4 linked regions of the Saccharomyces cerevisiae S288C genome follow. The gene in region 1 interacts genetically with each later gene. Each region holds a gene or a part of one and is shown in the gene's direction. Other genes may lie near its edges. The genes, in order: CIK1, RTT109, MRC1 and NUM1.

Region 1 (3,880 bases):
CTGTGGTACCTGAAGATCGTCACAACTTTGAAACCAAGCTTATAGGCAAGCTAAAAGATAAGGTGAAAAATATGAAAGTAACTGACAAGGCTAAAGATGAGGATATAGACCCAATGGACCCAATGAGTCCGTTGAATAAGGATGTGTCTTGATTAACTGCGGTGAACCTTCAATATCTGTACGTTTGAAAAATATTTCCAACGATATACCTCTATATTTTGATCTATAGAATATTTAATTGCAGTAGTTTTTTATCAGTAAGGTAGCGTTGATATTACTAGTGAAGGTAACTCTATAGTTCCTTGACATGTTCTTTAGATTCTAGAGGTTTTTTATTGAATTTGTTTTCCCACCTTATTTAAACTTTGAGAACAAAACTAGCAAAATCAATAATATAAGGACTGCGATAATGGCATAGCTTATGAATTTATTAGCAACTAGCCTTCTAGTCATTGTTTTTAGTGTCTTTATACTTTTATCCACATATGAATCCGCTTGAAACAAGGTCTGTCTTGCATTTTCCAAAGTTTCTCTCTGTGACCTTAAATCCATCATTATTTGTGACCCTATTCCTTCAGTTTCATTTGCTATTCTACTGGCATCTTTTAGTCTATCTCCCGATTTCTGTAAGATTGCATGGTTGCTCAACAACTGTTGCCTTTGGTCATCGTCAATATTAGATGCGTTAAGATCTCCAAAAAGTCTATCACGATCGCCTGAGTCTACTAAGGATTGCAGTGGTCGTTTGATATCGCTCTGTATAGTCTTCTTCCATTCTCTTAACTTCGCCTTGTACGTAGCACGTTCTGAGGCATCGCCTATGCTGTTATTAACTTCTACATCCATCTGATCTAGCAGGTCAAACAACTCATCTTGTTGCTGTTCTACGTGCTTCAGTGTAGTATTTCTCTGTGATAACGGTTGTGAGGGGGCCTCTGCTAAGCTCGCTTTGGCTTGTTCTAAGGTTGTTTTGAAGTCAGATTCGTATGATATTAATAGGGAACTCATAGTAAGCCATGCAGCAATGTAAAGAGTGCGGTTGATTCGTTTTATACAACTTAATGTAAAGCTTTACACTTTTCCAAGAATAGTAATTGCCCTATATAGCACGACTACTCCACTCCTAACTTTCATTGAAAATTAGACAGTCATGTGATCAGTAATATCGTCCATAGTGATATTTGTTTGTTTACCATTTTTGTTCTTATTTACTCTCTAATATGATTCTAGTATATGAAAGATACCACTGTCGTAGCTCGTATCAAAATAAAACTAGTCAGTCGTTGACCATTGAGCATATCGTCCGAGAATAAGGCTTTACTGTATTATTTTTTGATATCCACACGTTATTGAGCTCATTCACTGATCGACACATTTAGGCGGCTTTTCCGTTTGGCTGAAGCAACTTTGAAACACAACTACGACATTATAATTAAGCGCCTAAATAAGTGAATTTTGTGCCATAGGGTTGGACCGTGTATATATAAGAGCTATTCACTATTTTAATATTTGTTTTGGCATTTGAAACTCGTTGACATAAGCTTTATTATTAGGATGAATAACTCCAAAATTCCTAAACTTTCCTTTCATAGTGATCCAAACAACGTCACTCGAGACTTTCCAAAGACAAAACGACAGAAGGTTCAGAAAAGAGAAATGGATATGATACTAACTCCTAATAACAACAAGCTAAATATATTGCACAGCTCTGGATCTGGTATACGGCGCTGCTACACTGATGACACCTCCGCTACGTATACTAAGAAACTAACCTTTGGGGGGGACCCCAAGATTATTGAAAGGGTTAAGAACAATGAACGTAAGGTTAGAAAAGACATAGATTCACTACTGAATGCTATTTCTGAAATTGAAAAGGAATCTGTTCGTATTCATGCCAGGGAACTACCTGCAATAACATTAGAATTAGATGCAAAAGTCAAAGCGTGCAGGGAGCTACAAAATGAGATTGATGGACTATCAACGGAGATGGACTTGAAGGATAATCAATGTGATCTTCAAAGAAAGAATGTTGAGCTATCATCAAAAAATATAGTGTCTATGCATGCAGTAAAAGTACAAGAGTTCGAAAACGATTTAGAGGAAGAGCTATCGAATGCCAAAAGGGAGTGGACGTATAAATTAATGGAAGTAGAAAATTTGAAACCTGACGAAAGGTTAACTGACGAAATGCGACAGCTTAAAACAGAATTCGAGGAGGTCAATAGGAAACTATTCATTCTACAGAATGAAAATGAGAACGAGTGTAAAAACTACAAAAAAGAATTGGACAAGAAATTCGAGATATTCAAGAAAGTTAAGAACGATGCTAGAATTGAATTAGATGGGGAGCAAGAAAGACTTTCGAAAGTTTTAAAAGACCTACAAGACACCCATGGTGAACTGAAAGAAAATATTAAGACGTGTAGAGATGAGTTTAACGATTTTGAAAAAAGGATTGGAGAGGCAGAAGTGAACTTCCATAGCATGGAACTTGCCGTTGTTCCTCTCAAAAAGAAGCTTGCTTCTACATCACAAGCATTGACGCAAGTGCAGGAGGAGAAGAAGCAAGTCGAAGGAGAAGCAAACAATTGGAAGAAGAAGTACGTTAATGAACTAGAAAAGGTTCAACAGGAATTATACACACGACAAAATCTGGCCACTTCAATTGAAGAAATCAAAGGATACACCCGATGCTTTGCGTATGCCAATGAACGACAAATGCCTGATGAATTCCATATCAACTATGTGGATCGGTGCATTTGCGAGAATAGTGGAGAAAAACGGGTACAAGTATTTGATAGAGTAGTTCTCGAAGAAATCCATAAGGATCACAAACGCTTATATAACGAATGCATTCCGTTCCTGGAAAAATACATCAGCAAGTTAATTAACTGCAGCATTATAGTGGTTTCGCAGCAACCCACAGCACCAATGAAAAAGACTTTGCTAAAACAGTTAATTGAGCAGTACGGTGAGAATTATAAGATGACATTGAACATTTTGCATCTTGACGGAAGTATTAAACACAGTGACGTTGGATTAGATAACCCAACAGAAATTAGAGATCTGTCACAAGATGAAGAATGCATGAACATTTTAACTTTAGATACCAAGTTGGGAAAAGATGAAGAGTCCCATTCAATGAATATATATATCGGTAGTATGTCCACGGTACAGCTGAATAGAGAGCTTGATGATGCTCCCTCAGTCCTTTCGCATATTCTCACTAAAACAAAGCAGTGCTTTGTCTTCAAGATTAACGCTGGTGAAAACATCGAGAAGGCTCTAGCCTTAGCGGGAAAGCTGAAAAGAACAATAACATTACCTCAGCTAGATTAAGAAGGCCAGATCTTGTGCGCTACAATCACTTCGTCTCGTTCCCTTACATAAAAAACTTACGTAGCTACATTGTCGTGCGTGGCATCAACCTAATTATCCTAGCAAAATAAAAGAGAATGTTACGGGACTAACAGGCGGATGTAAATTACTCACTTAAACGCAGCCAAACATCATCGAGAACTTAGGGTAGCGTGCCACAAAATTTGCATGAATAAACTTTTGTTTTCCTAATTCGACAGCATTCCCTTGTTCGCAACACTTCACTGATAGGAAATCGAATAGCGCACACTCTCTTCTGGGACATACCCCAATGCGGTAAAGCCACGAAAACACCGCGCGTAAAGGGGTAAACAAGTCCATTCCTACAACCTCTTGGAGAAATTCTTTACCTACTACAACCCCGCGCCTGATACTTTCAGTATTCATGACAACTCGAGCCAGATCCCGCTCGTGGGCGTGTTCATTCTGTGACGATCCACTAGCGACTTCTTTGTTCAGCCTGCAAGAGACGCGTTCAAGGAAGAATTCGCGATTTTACTTC
Region 2 (3,608 bases), on another chromosome or scaffold:
TGTATTCAATTGTAAGTCTAAAAGAGGCTAACCTCGTGAAGCGTATTTTTCATTCATGGAAAAAACTTCTATATATTGACCTCAAAGCAAGCGATTATTCGAGGACTAATTTGCTCAAGTCATCATTGCGAAGTTGGAAACTTGAAGTAAAGTTAAAAATATTTGAGCAGAAATGTAAAAAGAGTATTCAAGCAAGCGCGTATCGTACATGGAGGAAAAGAATACAGTATGGGAAAATATCGAGCGAACATGTTAAAACGGCATTTTGTGCAAAATATCTTGGTGTGTGGAAAAGGAGGATGCTACAAATGAATTCTATGAATGACGAAGCATCCAAATTTTACGAAGAGGGTCTCGTAAATGAGTGTCTAGCTATATGGAAAGAACGCCTGATTAAAACTAAGGAATTGGAGGATAGATACAATTTCTTATGTAAGACACATGCAATTTTGACTGTAAAACGGACGCTAATGCATATTGATAATGTTCATTTGCTATATACGAAACTGGCGCCCTCTATGGATAGAGTAAAGCTTTCTAAGGCCTTTTTAAAGTGGCGGAAAGCCACAAGGTTCAAAGTCAGGCATAAGTTAAACGATATTTTACACGTTTATGAAAAGAGTAAAGAGCGCGAACTTCAAAGCCAACTGTTCAACGCTTGGCGAAATAGATTTTGCTTCTACACAGAAGAATGTAACATTCAGGCTATTTCAAAGAGAAACTACCAGCTTGAAAAAATGGTGCTGAAGAAATTTAGAGAAAGACTTTTAGAGATAGTAAAATCAGAAGAATTAGCAGACGAAGTTCGCGAAGAATTTGTGTTAGTCAAGACGTTTTATATTTGGAAAACTCATCTAGACGAAATATTTTATATGAGTACATTATTGGAACAATCGGAAGCTAATAAACAATTCATAATTACATCCAAATTCTTGAAAATGTGGAGTCTTCGATTCCTAAAAATTAAGCGTAATGATGAGACAGTCGAGGTGTTTCGTCATCGGTGGGACAGGGCCACTGTAAGGGGATTGTTATTATTATGGAAAAATCGTTCAGACAGTTCTCCAAAGAGAAGGAAGGACTTCAATCTTAAACATGAACTAAAAACTCCCATAAGATCAGACTCTCAAAACGCCTCAACCATACCAGGCTCAGAAAGAATAAAGCAGCACAGAATGGAAGCGATGAAGTCGCATTATAGCAGGGCAAGAAGAGCCATACCAAGTCCGGTGAAATCTTCCAGTGTTCTTGATTCTACAGCTAAAAAACAGATCAACCTTGAAAGTACGACAGGCTTAAACGGATCTCCGACGCGAGGAAAACCTCTAAGGTATTCTCCTAGGCGTACCACTAGAAACATGCCATCCAAAGTTGACCATATTGATTTTGGCAGAATACCCGCTGTACCTTTTAGCCTAAGCGCCAATTCTCCTAAAATCGATCAAGATATGGATTATATAAGAGAGCATGATAAATCCCCGTTAAGTCGTAAACGTCAATAGATATATATATTATGTACGTATGTATGTGTGCATATGTAGTCGTAACCTTTCTTGCTTCTGAGATGCATACAATTACTAATAATATTCTCCAGGTCTATGAAAACATCACAACATACTATACTTTTCGTGTTCGCGTTGTAAGCTATAATGGAAAATGGACGCCATAACGCATTACTTAACAAACTACAGTTTGTCAATAGAGTTGTCCAGTAGAGTTAAAAGGTCAATTCAACCGGTCTTCAATAAGACATGTCACTGAATGACTTCCTAAGTTCCGTGCTACCTGTCAGTGAACAATTTGAATACTTATCGTTGCAATCTATTCCGTTAGAAACCCATGCTGTCGTAACCCCAAATAAGGACGACAAAAGGGTCCCAAAAAGCACGATCAAGACTCAACACTTCTTTAGTCTATTTCACCAAGGAAAAGTTTTTTTTTCATTAGAAGTGTATGTGTATGTCACGCTTTGGGATGAAGCAGATGCCGAACGGTTAATATTTGTATCAAAGGCAGACACTAATGGTTATTGTAATACGAGGGTAAGCGTTAGAGATATTACAAAAATAATATTAGAATTTATATTATCAATCGACCCGAATTACTATCTTCAAAAAGTAAAACCGGCAATAAGATCATATAAGAAGATATCCCCCGAGCTGATTAGCGCAGCCAGTACGCCAGCAAGAACTTTAAGGATTTTGGCTAGAAGGCTTAAACAGTCAGGCAGCACCGTTTTGAAAGAAATAGAATCTCCACGTTTTCAACAAGATCTTTATCTCTCATTCACCTGTCCTCGTGAGATTTTGACCAAAATTTGTTTATTTACTAGACCTGCATCCCAGTACCTCTTCCCAGATTCTTCAAAAAACAGCAAAAAGCATATACTAAATGGCGAGGAACTAATGAAATGGTGGGGCTTTATTTTGGATAGATTACTAATTGAATGCTTTCAAAATGATACACAAGCAAAATTAAGGATACCGGGCGAAGATCCTGCTCGAGTAAGATCATACCTAAGAGGGATGAAATATCCACTATGGCAAGTGGGTGATATATTTACCTCTAAAGAAAATTCTCTTGCGGTATATAATATTCCATTATTCCCAGACGATCCTAAGGCTAGATTTATACACCAATTGGCAGAGGAAGATCGCCTCCTCAAAGTAAGCTTATCATCCTTCTGGATTGAACTACAAGAGCGTCAAGAGTTCAAATTAAGTGTCACATCATCTGTAATGGGTATTTCGGGATACTCTCTTGCCACTCCATCTTTATTTCCATCTAGTGCCGATGTTATTGTACCGAAGTCAAGGAAGCAGTTTAGGGCAATCAAGAAGTACATTACTGGAGAGGAATACGATACAGAGGAAGGCGCAATAGAAGCTTTCACCAATATTCGTGATTTTCTATTGCTCAGAATGGCAACAAATCTTCAATCTTTAACAGGGAAGAGGGAGCATCGGGAGAGAAATCAGCCGGTTCCTGCAAGCAACATCAACACGTTGGCGATAACAATGCTAAAACCGCGTAAAAAAGCTAAAGCCTTGCCTAAAACTTGATACATATTGATATTTATTATTTAGTACACGTATGTAGCATCGATCTTAGAAAATGCATGTTTGTATTTATTGTTAGTACCTTGATCGCCACCTTTCTAGGTAATGATAGGTCCTCAACTTTTACTACGCGGTGCACGCCTGTAAGGTCGGGCAAAACAAAGTGTGGGAACAATAAATAAGAGGGTAGGATGAAATATTACCTTTACTCTACTGCTCAGGTTGGCCACAATTTGCTAAAGAGTTTATCATTAAGTAGCTACCAGCGAATCTAAATACGACGGATAAAGAATGGCTAGTTTAGAAGATCTTATTCCTACTGTCAACAAGCTGCAGGATGTTATGTACGACTCCGGGATCGATACACTCGATTTGCCCATTTTAGCTGTTGTTGGGTCACAATCCTCCGGGAAATCCTCGATATTGGAAACGTTAGTTGGAAGAGATTTTTTACCTAGGGGTACTGGTATTGTCACAAGAAGACCGTTAGTTCTTCAACTTAATAACATATCTCCAAATTCTCCTCTAATAGAGGAAGATGATAACTCA
Region 3 (5,845 bases), on another chromosome or scaffold:
GGAAGAGGCTACGCCGAGGGCGACGCCATCTTTAGATCCAGCGCTGGCCTCAGATCCTCGAAGGTTTAGTCTTAAGCGACGATGCTTTATATATATTCAAAAAAAAAAATAATAAAAATATGCAGTACCATTCCGCTCTATATGTATATATTTACGTAACTTTCACCACTATTCCCTATAAGGAAAAGCCGGATATCATTTCGATCTGCTTCAGCATGCTGTCGTTTGTTTTTGATTTTTCTGTCCGAATTTGCTCTCGTACCTTGGAGTCCTTTTCCTGGTCCTTGATCAGCTCCTCGGCTTTCAAAGTAGTCTCAGCTTTCAGTTTAGCTGGCTCTTGTGTACTTGCCTCCCGCAGCAGCGTCGGTATCATTGTTTCACTACTTTTGTTTAACTTTTCCACTTGTAACTTTGTTCTCTTCCTTTCAGCGGTGCTGATCGACCTCTTTTTTTGTACTTTCTTGCCAACACCAACATTCTTGCCCACACCTTTCTTTTTCATGCTACACTTGCCCATTTTTTCCTTGCTAAATGCCCTTGAGTTATTGTACCTTATTATAGCAGGCTTGCACATCTGAAAACGAAAATTTTTTTTTCCTTATATTTCTAATTCTTTTAGCGATGAGATATGAAAATTTTCAAAAAAAAGAGATGATGAGGTTAACTATTGTAAAGTAGACAGCAAACAAAAGGGTCACACAAATATCCAAATTGGCAAACGATGGTGTCTACACATAACAGAGATAAACCTTGGGATACGGATGATATTGATAAATGGAAGATAGAGGAGTTTAAGGAAGAGGATAACGCATCCGGTCAACCTTTTGCTGAAGAGTCCAGTTTTATGACTTTGTTTCCTAAATACAGAGAAAGTTACTTGAAGACGATTTGGAATGATGTAACAAGGGCTCTAGACAAACACAACATAGCGTGTGTTCTAGATTTAGTCGAAGGTTCTATGACAGTAAAAACAACTAGAAAAACATACGATCCCGCTATCATTTTGAAAGCCAGAGATTTGATCAAATTATTGGCGAGATCCGTTCCTTTCCCGCAAGCCGTTAAGATCCTACAAGATGACATGGCATGCGACGTTATTAAAATTGGTAATTTCGTTACTAACAAAGAAAGGTTTGTCAAGAGAAGACAACGTCTTGTAGGCCCTAACGGTAATACTTTAAAGGCTTTGGAACTTCTAACTAAATGTTACATTCTAGTACAAGGTAACACAGTAAGTGCCATGGGTCCCTTCAAGGGCTTGAAGGAGGTCCGTCGAGTAGTAGAAGATTGTATGAAAAATATTCACCCTATCTATCATATCAAGGAATTAATGATAAAAAGAGAATTGGCAAAAAGGCCAGAGTTAGCCAATGAAGATTGGTCAAGATTCTTGCCCATGTTTAAGAAGAGGAATGTGGCCAGAAAGAAACCCAAGAAGATCAGAAACGTCGAAAAGAAGGTCTATACTCCATTTCCTCCTGCCCAATTGCCTAGAAAGGTTGATTTGGAAATTGAAAGTGGTGAGTATTTCTTAAGCAAGAGAGAAAAGCAAATGAAGAAATTAAATGAGCAAAAGGAAAAGCAAATGGAAAGAGAAATCGAAAGGCAGGAAGAGAGAGCAAAAGATTTCATAGCTCCGGAAGAAGAAGCATACAAGCCAAACCAAAATTAGTTTACACCGCTACGGAATCCTTCATATATGTCTATATATATATAGAAACACACACACATTTCGTTTACTTAGATATGTTTGTAAAGTGAAAGAAATTCTTACTAGGACACCAACTCTACTGGCTCTCATATGCAGAGAGATATACATCAATACTTGAAATTTTCCTTATCCTTCTTCGACGCGTCATGAAGAGATAGAATGCGTAAAACGCGTTTGCTTCAATAGCATTTCAAACACATTATGTTGGAAAAAAACCAAGAACAGACAAACAACTAAGGAAGTTCGTTATTCGCTTTTGAACTTATCACCAAATATTTTAGTGATGGATGATGCCTTGCATGCTTTGTCCTCGTTGACTGCAAAGAAGAGAACTACCACCTACAAAAAAGTTGCTGTTCCCATACTAGATGAGAACGATAATACTAATGGAAATGGGCCCAATGACATAGACAATCCGCCAGAGTTGACTGGGAACGGGTTTTTATTTGCCAATGCCACATTAAATCGTGTTAAGAACAGATTAGAAGGCAAGAAAGCACCCGAACAGAATCACAATAATGGAAAAGATAGGAGTGAGAATTCGTTACCAACTCAATTAATCTCTAATCTTTACGATGGTGGTGAAGAGCTGGAGAAATCCGAAGTTAAAGATAATAGTTACAGTGAGAAAAATGTCTCTTCTTCATTCACGCAGACGCAAAGAATACCTGTCAGCATCCAACAAGACAAGGTGTTTAACGTACCTATCCATTCCGTTAATGACGGGAAACCCACCCAATTAATCAAAGAAGATGGTCTCGTCAACGAAACTTCTCAAGCGCTGAAAACACCTCTCACGACAGGACGGCCAGGGGCTACACAGCGTATAGATAGCAGCGGTGCAACCTCACAAACTCAGCCTATAAAATCAATTGAACCACAATCCCAAATAATTACGACTTCCAGCAATCATTCTAATGCTCTGTCGCCGAAAATTCCTATAATTCCAACGGAACTTATTGGAACTAGTCCTTTATTTCAGTCCATTCAAAATCGTGGTCCTGACACCCAAATGGATGTACCACCACAGACTGCGCATGATGAGGATAAGACACAAGCAATTGGTATTCCACAGGCTACGCATCAGGAACAGAAAACCCAAATAGATACAGTCGCACAAACACTTCAAGATGAAGTACCACACACATTAAAAATTCGGGAAATACAAAGCGAATTGGCTTCAGAAGATTCTAAAAGGGAAAAAGCTAGAAATGTCGAATACAAAAAACCGCAAAAGCCAATACCAACCAAAAAATTTTTTTCTAAAGAGTCTTTTCTTGCTGATTTTGACGATTCGTCCTCAAATGAGGACGATGATATAAAGCTGGAAAATGCACATCCAAAACCAGTACAGAATGACGATGAACTGCATGAGAACAAAAGTGTTGAATTAAATCTAACTGATGAGACAAGAATAAATGAGAAAAGGGTTCCACTATTGAGCTCCTATGCTAATAATTTGAAACGGGAAATTGACTCCTCGAAATGCATAACACTGGACCTCGACAGCGACAGTGACGAATATGGAGATGATGATATGGATAGCATTAAATTATCCAAAGATGAAAGCGTTTTGCCAATCTCTCAGTTATCAAAGGCGACTATATTAAACCTGAAGGCAAGACTCTCTAAACAAAATCAAAAGTTGTCTCAAAGGCCGAATAAAAGTAAAGACCCAAAAGTTGATCATAATGTACTATTAAATACCTTAAGGAAAGCTAGCAGGAAACAAATTCTGGATCATCAGAAAGAAGTGATTGAAACGAAAGGTCTGAAGCTGGAGGATATGGCCAAAGAAAAGGAAATAGTAGAGAACTTGCTAGAACAAGAAATTCTTAGAAATAAAAGAATCAGACAAAAAGAGAAGAGAAGGGAAAAACTTGAAGAAAATGACTTTCAATTGAACGCCCATGATTCCGGTTCTGACTCAGGGTCAGAGTCTTCTGGATTTGCATTGAGTGGTAATGAAATTGCCGATTATGAATCATCTGGTAGTGAAAATGACAATCGTAGAGAATCCGATAGTGAAAAGGAAGATGATGAAATTATTCTAAAGCAAAAAAAATCCCACCACGTGAAACATATCATTAACGAATCAGACTCTGATACCGAAGTCGAAGCCAAACCCAAAGAGAAAGCTGATGAAAGTCTACCGAAAAGGATCGCCATTAATCTGGGCCATTACGGTGATAATATCGGAGAGGATACCGACAAATTTCAAGAAACCAATGTTCTAGATACACAAAACATTGAAGAGGTGATGGCCGAAAGAAATACAATCGAAAATGAAGTCAAAGATGATGTATACGTCAATGAAGAAGCTGATGAAGCAATTCGCCGTCAGCTGATTGACAAAGAGAAATTGCAACTAAAACAGAAAGAAAAGGAGCACGAGGCTAAGATAAAAGAGTTGAAGAAAAGAGGTGTCACAAACTTCTTTGAAATGGAAGCCGAAGAATCCGAGGATGAATGGCATGGTATCGGTGGTGCAGATGGAGAAGGATCTGACGACTATGATTCTGACCTAGAAAAAATGATCGATGATTATTCCAAGAACAATTTCAATCCTCATGAAATCAGAGAAATGCTTGCCGCAGAAAATAAGGAAATGGATATCAAAATGATAAACAAAATTCTTTATGACATTAAAAATGGAGGATTTCGTAATAAAAGAGCAAAAAATAGCTTAGAGCTAGAACTAAGTGATGATGATGAAGACGACGTACTACAACAATATCGTCTCAAAAGGAGAGAATTGATGAGAAAAAGGAGATTAGAAATTGGCGATGATGCAAAGCTTGTTAAAAACCCAAAGTCGAGCGCATTTTTTGAAAGTATGGTGGAAGATATTATCGAATATAAAAACCCCTTCGGGGCTGAAGAGGAATATAACCTAGACATTACAAGTACGGCTACTGACCTAGATACTCAGGACAATAGCATTAATGTAGGTGATAATACGGGAAATAATGAACAGAAACCTGTAGATCAAAAGAACAAAAAGGTTATCATATCTGAAGACTTTGTGCAGAAAAGCTTATCCTTCCTAAAAAGTAATAATTATGAGGATTTTGAAACGGATAAGGAGCTATCAAGGATACAACATGGCAATGATGAAGCAATTGAAGATTTATATACCCTAAAACAGAATAGTTCGATAAAGTCATTCACAAATTCTCAAACTGATTCGACCACTTCAAAAACAGTAAACACAATAATTGACTTAGAAAAGCGCCCAGAGGATGAAGATGAGGTGGAAAATGGAGATACATCACTAGTTGGCGTTTTCAAACATCCATCAATAATCAAATCCTTTGCGTCCAGAACAGACATAAATGATAAGTTTAAAGAAGGTAACAAGACAGTCAAGATTCTAAAGTCTTACAAGACAGTGGGGAGTTCAAAAGCTTCTATCACATATATGGGGAAAACGAGAAAATTAATAGCACCAAAGAGGAAAACTGAAGGGAGCCACCGCTACCACCATGACCATCATAATAAAAAAATGAAAATGAAAACGAAAACAAAATCGAATAAACTTTTTGAAAGCGGACAAGATAGCTTTGATAATTAGTGGTTTTTTATCTTTTCCGAAGAAGTTGATTGAACTCCAGAAGCTGTCTTGAAGTAGTCGCATTAAAAAAGATGGCACCCGAGTCTAGGCCAAGCCATAGTCATGTTATGATAGGATTTTATAAGACAAATATTATAAAGAAGTTTAATAATAATACAAAAAGATACAAAAAAACTTGAAGATATTCTGAATAAAAAAAAAAAGAATAAACATTTGGAGCAAAAGAAGAGTAGGTTAGGTAAAGGAGGCATTAATTAAAACAGCAGTTCTGTATTCAAAGCATCTTGCAATTCTTCTATAGAGACGCTTATATCCATATTATTTTTTTGTTCCTGTGCTACATTATGATTTGATATTCGTTCTTCATTCATGCCCTTATTCTTTCTCCCCCTCTTACTTTGAAAAGATTCTGATATTGTGCTTAACGATGAATTAAACTTATCCATAAAAGATGCATGCTTAAGATTTGTGTTGTTCTCTTTTACCGTATGTGTATCTGATCGTGCAATGAATGATGATAACAACGCCTTAGAACTTGAAATACGAGGACCATTACGACT
Region 4 (4,665 bases), on another chromosome or scaffold:
TGACTCTGCATTACGAACGACGGGGGTAACCAAACCCTTTGGAGTGGCCACAGCAACAGAAATATCTGTGTAATCACGATAAACAATCTGGTCACCTTCAATGGCACCATTGACGGCTGGAATATCCTTGGCGGCCAAGGTACATGCTTTGGAGAAAAGACCCATGAATCCGAATTTAGTACCGGTCTTCTTAATAATCTCATCTTTATACAGTTTCCTCATTTCCATCAAAGCTGACATGTCAACTTCGTTGAATGTGGTTAAGGAAGCAGCAGTGTTTTGAGACTCTTTTAATCTTTCGGCAATCCTCAATCTCATACGGTTCATTTTGACCCTGGTTTCTGTACGTGGAAATGGTGTGAAAGAGTTAGAGGCTACTGGGGGTTCCTGCGCCTTAGAGACGGTCTTCTTTGGTTGATCAGCCTTTTTTGGTTCTGTAACTTCTTTCTTTGGAGCGGCTTCTTTCTTTGGAGCAGCTTCTTTCTTTGAAGCCGTTTCCTCACTTGAGTTTTCCCTTGCGGCGACACCTTGCGATGGCTCCGCTTGTTCGGTAGGCTCTGGCTTAGATTCTCCAGAACCCTCAGCAGGTGCTTCACCAGGCTCGACCTGAGCTAACTCCTCACCAACAGTGACAGTGTCCTCTGGTTTGAAATTTAGCTTCGTAACAGTACCTGATACTGGCGAATTGACCTCAATATCAATTTTATCGGTCTCAATAGTGGCCAACAGCTCGTCCTCCTTAATAAAATCACCAACGTTTTTAGTATATTCCTTTAAAGAGCCTTCAGTCAGGGACTCTGCCATCGGAGGAACTTCAATAGAGGTAGATTTAAAACGATTGCTAGTTATGGAGAACGGATTCGCCGCAACTGAAATTTTCTTGCCGGATAAATATATTGAACCTAAGGATTCGACCTTGTTAGCTTGTTTGAACAAACTTGTAGAAGCATGTCTCTTGACGAAAGAAGCAGCCATAACATTTCTAGCCACTTTAGATTTTACTAAGGATTTGGCAGCTGCAGTACGCGTCGCTCTGGAAAGCATTGTTTAAATAATTATCTGAAGTTGTGTCTTTGGTTGTAACAAATGTGGTAGTGAAGTTTATAACAATATATCTATTCACTGATATATACCGTTAAAGATAGCTGCCTAATTTTTTATTTCGGATTTTTCTTTTTTTTACGTTAGATATTTCCTCCCCTGAAGCTCAAAAAGAGATTATATATGAAAAGTAGGCCTAGTTGAGGGAAAAAGGATTTGCATTTGCTGATAGACCAAGTGTGGATCCGAGCCCTGTAGTAGAATGGTGCTAATGTAGAATAAGAATAAGCTTTAGGAACCATAGATTCCTGCGTAATTTGTGGCCGCTTTATTGGCTCACTCCGGGCAGGACCTTAGTTTTGATTGGCTGCAAAAAAAGGGTTGTTAATATCGTCTTTGACGGAGATGCGGGTGGCTGGAATTGTTTTGTTTATTATTCCCCAAGAGAGAAGAGACAAGAAGTAGTAATGACGATGGAACAAAGATCGGTTCTAATAGGACCACAGGGTTGAATAGAGACGAGTAAAGACGCAACGGTCAAGGCTTTCCACGAGACGTTCGAATATGTCCCACAACAACAGGCATAAAAAGAATAACGATAAAGACAGCTCAGCAGGGCAGTATGCAAATAGCATTGACAATTCATTAAGCCAGGAAAGCGTCTCAACGAACGGCGTAACAAGGATGGCTAACTTAAAGGCTGATGAATGCGGCAGTGGTGATGAAGGAGATAAAACAAAGCGGTTTTCGATTTCAAGTATTTTGAGTAAAAGAGAGACAAAAGACGTGCTTCCGGAATTTGCAGGCAGTAGTTCCCACAATGGAGTACTCACGGCGAATTCATCAAAGGATATGAACTTTACTTTGGAACTAAGCGAGAATTTGTTGGTTGAGTGTAGGAAATTGCAATCCTCTAATGAAGCTAAAAATGAGCAAATCAAGTCTCTCAAGCAAATTAAAGAGTCATTAAGTGACAAGATTGAGGAGCTCACTAACCAAAAAAAGTCCTTCATGAAAGAGTTGGATTCAACTAAAGATTTAAACTGGGATTTAGAATCTAAATTAACAAACTTGAGCATGGAATGTAGGCAATTAAAAGAATTGAAGAAAAAGACTGAAAAATCTTGGAATGATGAAAAAGAAAGCCTGAAACTTCTGAAAACAGATTTGGAAATTTTAACATTAACAAAAAATGGCATGGAAAATGATCTTAGCTCTCAAAAACTTCATTACGATAAAGAGATTAGTGAATTAAAGGAAAGGATTTTAGACTTAAATAATGAAAACGACAGATTACTTATTAGTGTTTCTGATCTAACAAGTGAAATTAATTCCTTACAGAGCAATAGAACTGAAAGAATAAAAATTCAAAAGCAACTTGATGACGCCAAAGCATCTATTTCTTCGTTAAAAAGAAAAGTACAAAAGAAGTATTATCAAAAACAGCATACTTCCGATACTACAGTAACATCTGATCCTGATTCTGAGGGGACCACTAGTGAAGAAGACATTTTTGATATAGTGATCGAAATTGACCACATGATTGAAACAGGCCCCTCTGTCGAGGACATTTCTGAAGATCTTGTCAAGAAATACTCAGAAAAAAACAATATGATATTGTTATCGAATGATTCATATAAAAACTTACTACAAAAAAGTGAAAGTGCATCCAAACCAAAAGACGATGAATTAATGACCAAAGAGGTGGCTGAAAACCTGAATATGATCGCGTTACCAAATGATGACAATTACAGCAAAAAAGAGTTTTCGTTAGAATCTCATATTAAATATTTAGAAGCTTCTGGCTATAAAGTTCTTCCTCTAGAGGAGTTTGAGAACCTAAACGAATCCCTATCAAATCCATCATATAACTATCTCAAGGAAAAACTTCAGGCTTTGAAAAAGATACCCATCGATCAAAGTACGTTTAACTTGTTAAAAGAGCCTACTATTGATTTTTTACTGCCTTTAACATCCAAAATTGATTGCCTGATAATACCTACCAAAGATTATAATGACCTTTTTGAGAGTGTCAAGAATCCATCAATTGAACAAATGAAAAAATGCCTGGAAGCAAAGAACGACTTACAATCGAATATTTGTAAATGGCTGGAGGAGAGAAACGGCTGTAAATGGCTAAGTAATGATCTGTATTTTTCAATGGTTAATAAGATAGAAACACCTTCGAAACAATACCTGTCAGATAAGGCAAAAGAATACGACCAAGTGCTGATTGATACTAAAGCCTTAGAAGGTTTAAAGAACCCAACGATAGACTTTCTAAGAGAAAAAGCTTCTGCATCAGATTATTTATTACTCAAAAAAGAAGACTACGTGAGCCCATCACTGGAATACCTAGTTGAACATGCCAAGGCCACCAATCACCATTTACTATCGGATAGTGCATACGAAGACCTAGTCAAGTGCAAGGAGAATCCTGATATGGAATTCTTGAAGGAGAAGTCTGCCAAACTAGGCCACACTGTGGTATCCAACGAGGCATATTCTGAATTGGAAAAGAAACTAGAACAACCATCACTGGAATACCTAGTTGAACATGCCAAGGCGACCAATCACCATTTACTATCGGATAGTGCATACGAAGACCTAGTCAAGTGCAAGGAGAATCCTGATATGGAATTCTTGAAGGAGAAGTCTGCCAAACTAGGCCATACTGTGGTATCCAACGAGGCATATTCTGAATTGCAACGCAAATACTCAGAATTGGAGAAGGAAGTAGAACAACCATCTCTAGCATACTTAGTTGAACACGCCAAGGCTACCGATCACCATTTACTATCGGATAGTGCATACGAAGACCTAGTCAAGTGCAAGGAGAATCCTGATGTGGAATTCTTGAAGGAGAAGTCTGCTAAACTAGGCCATACTGTGGTATCTAGCGAGGAATATTCTGAATTGCAACGCAAATACTCAGAATTGGAGAAGGAAGTAGAACAACCATCACTAGCATACCTAGTCGAACACGCCAAGGCTACCGATCACCATTTACTATCGGATAGTGCATACGAAGAACTAGTCAAGTGCAAGGAGAATCCTGATATGGAATTCTTGAAGGAGAAGTCTGCCAAACTAGGCCACACTGTGGTATCCAACGAGGCATATTCTGAATTGGAAAAGAAACTAGAACAACCATCACTAGCATACCTAGTCGAACATGCCAAGGCTACCGATCACCATCTGCTATCGGATAGTGCATACGAAGACCTAGTCAAGTGCAAGGAAAATTCTGATGTAGAATTCTTGAAGGAGAAGTCTGCTAAACTAGGCCATACTGTGGTATCCAACGAAGCATATTCTGAATTGGAAAAGAAACTAGAACAACCATCACTAGCATACCTAGTCGAACATGCCAAGGCTACCGATCACCATCTGCTATCGGATAGTGCATACGAAGACCTAGTCAAGTGCAAGGAGAATCCTGATATGGAATTCTTGAAGGAGAAGTCTGCCAAACTAGGCCACACTGTGGTATCCAACGAGGCATATTCTGAATTGGAAAAGAAACTAGAACAACCATCACTGGAATACCTAGTTGAACATGCCAAGGCCACCAATCACCATTTACTATCGGATAGTGCATACGAAGACCTAGTCAAGTGCAAG

The links.
Region 2: mutations in CIK1 (region 1) and RTT109 together harm fitness more than expected from each alone (negative genetic interaction), as found in Saccharomyces cerevisiae (4 studies listed by BioGRID, with this or other methods).
Region 3: mutations in CIK1 (region 1) and MRC1 together harm fitness more than expected from each alone (negative genetic interaction), as found in Saccharomyces cerevisiae (6 studies listed by BioGRID, with this or other methods).
Region 4: mutations in CIK1 (region 1) and NUM1 together harm fitness more than expected from each alone (negative genetic interaction), as found in Saccharomyces cerevisiae (3 studies listed by BioGRID).

What each region holds. Positions count from the first base shown.
Region 1 is NC_001145.3:658,191-662,070, forward strand, and holds CIK1 (Cik1p), read left to right. Parts: upstream 1-1,554; coding exon 1,555-3,339; downstream 3,340-3,880. Other genes in the region: YMR196W (uncharacterized protein), read left to right, coding at 1-152; v-SNARE protein VTI1, read right to left, coding at 355-1,008. UniProt on the Saccharomyces cerevisiae protein: Together with the minus end-directed microtubule motor KAR3, involved in spindle midzone assembly, karyogamy (nuclear fusion) during mating, and with an essential function in meiosis I.
Region 2 is NC_001144.5:144,540-148,147, forward strand, and holds RTT109 (H3 histone acetyltransferase RTT109), read left to right. Parts: upstream 1-1,751; coding exon 1,752-3,062; downstream 3,063-3,608. Other genes in the region: SFI1 (Sfi1p), read left to right, coding at 1-1,502; dynamin-related GTPase DNM1, read left to right, coding at 3,351-3,608. UniProt on the Saccharomyces cerevisiae protein: Histone chaperone-dependent acetylase that modifies 'Lys-9', 'Lys-14', 'Lys-23', 'Lys-27', and 'Lys-56' on histone H3 (H3K9Ac, H3K14Ac and H3K23Ac, H3K27Ac, and H3K56Ac) to promote nucleosome assembly, genomic stability, DNA repair and transcriptional regulation during mitotic S-phase.
Region 3 is NC_001135.5:18,256-24,100, reverse strand, and holds MRC1 (chromatin-modulating protein MRC1), read left to right. Parts: upstream 1-1,994; coding exon 1,995-5,285; downstream 5,286-5,845. Other genes in the region: MIC10 (Mic10p), read left to right, coding at 1-69; ADF1 (Adf1p), read right to left, coding at 176-517; FYV5 (Fyv5p), read left to right, coding at 120-578; ribosome biosynthesis protein KRR1, read left to right, coding at 722-1,672; VAC17 (Vac17p), read right to left, coding at 5,540-5,845. UniProt on the Saccharomyces cerevisiae protein: Required for normal DNA replication. Phosphorylated in response to DNA replication stress. Phosphorylation allows it to mediate the activation of RAD53.
Region 4 is NC_001136.10:754,023-758,687, forward strand, and holds the start of NUM1 (Num1p), read left to right. Parts: upstream 1-1,605; coding exon 1,606-4,665. Other genes in the region: KGD2 (dihydrolipoyl transsuccinylase), read right to left, coding at 1-1,044. UniProt on the Saccharomyces cerevisiae protein: Controls nuclear migration. NUM1 specifically controls the interaction of the bud neck cytoskeleton with the pre-divisional G2 nucleus. Functions in dynein-anchoring.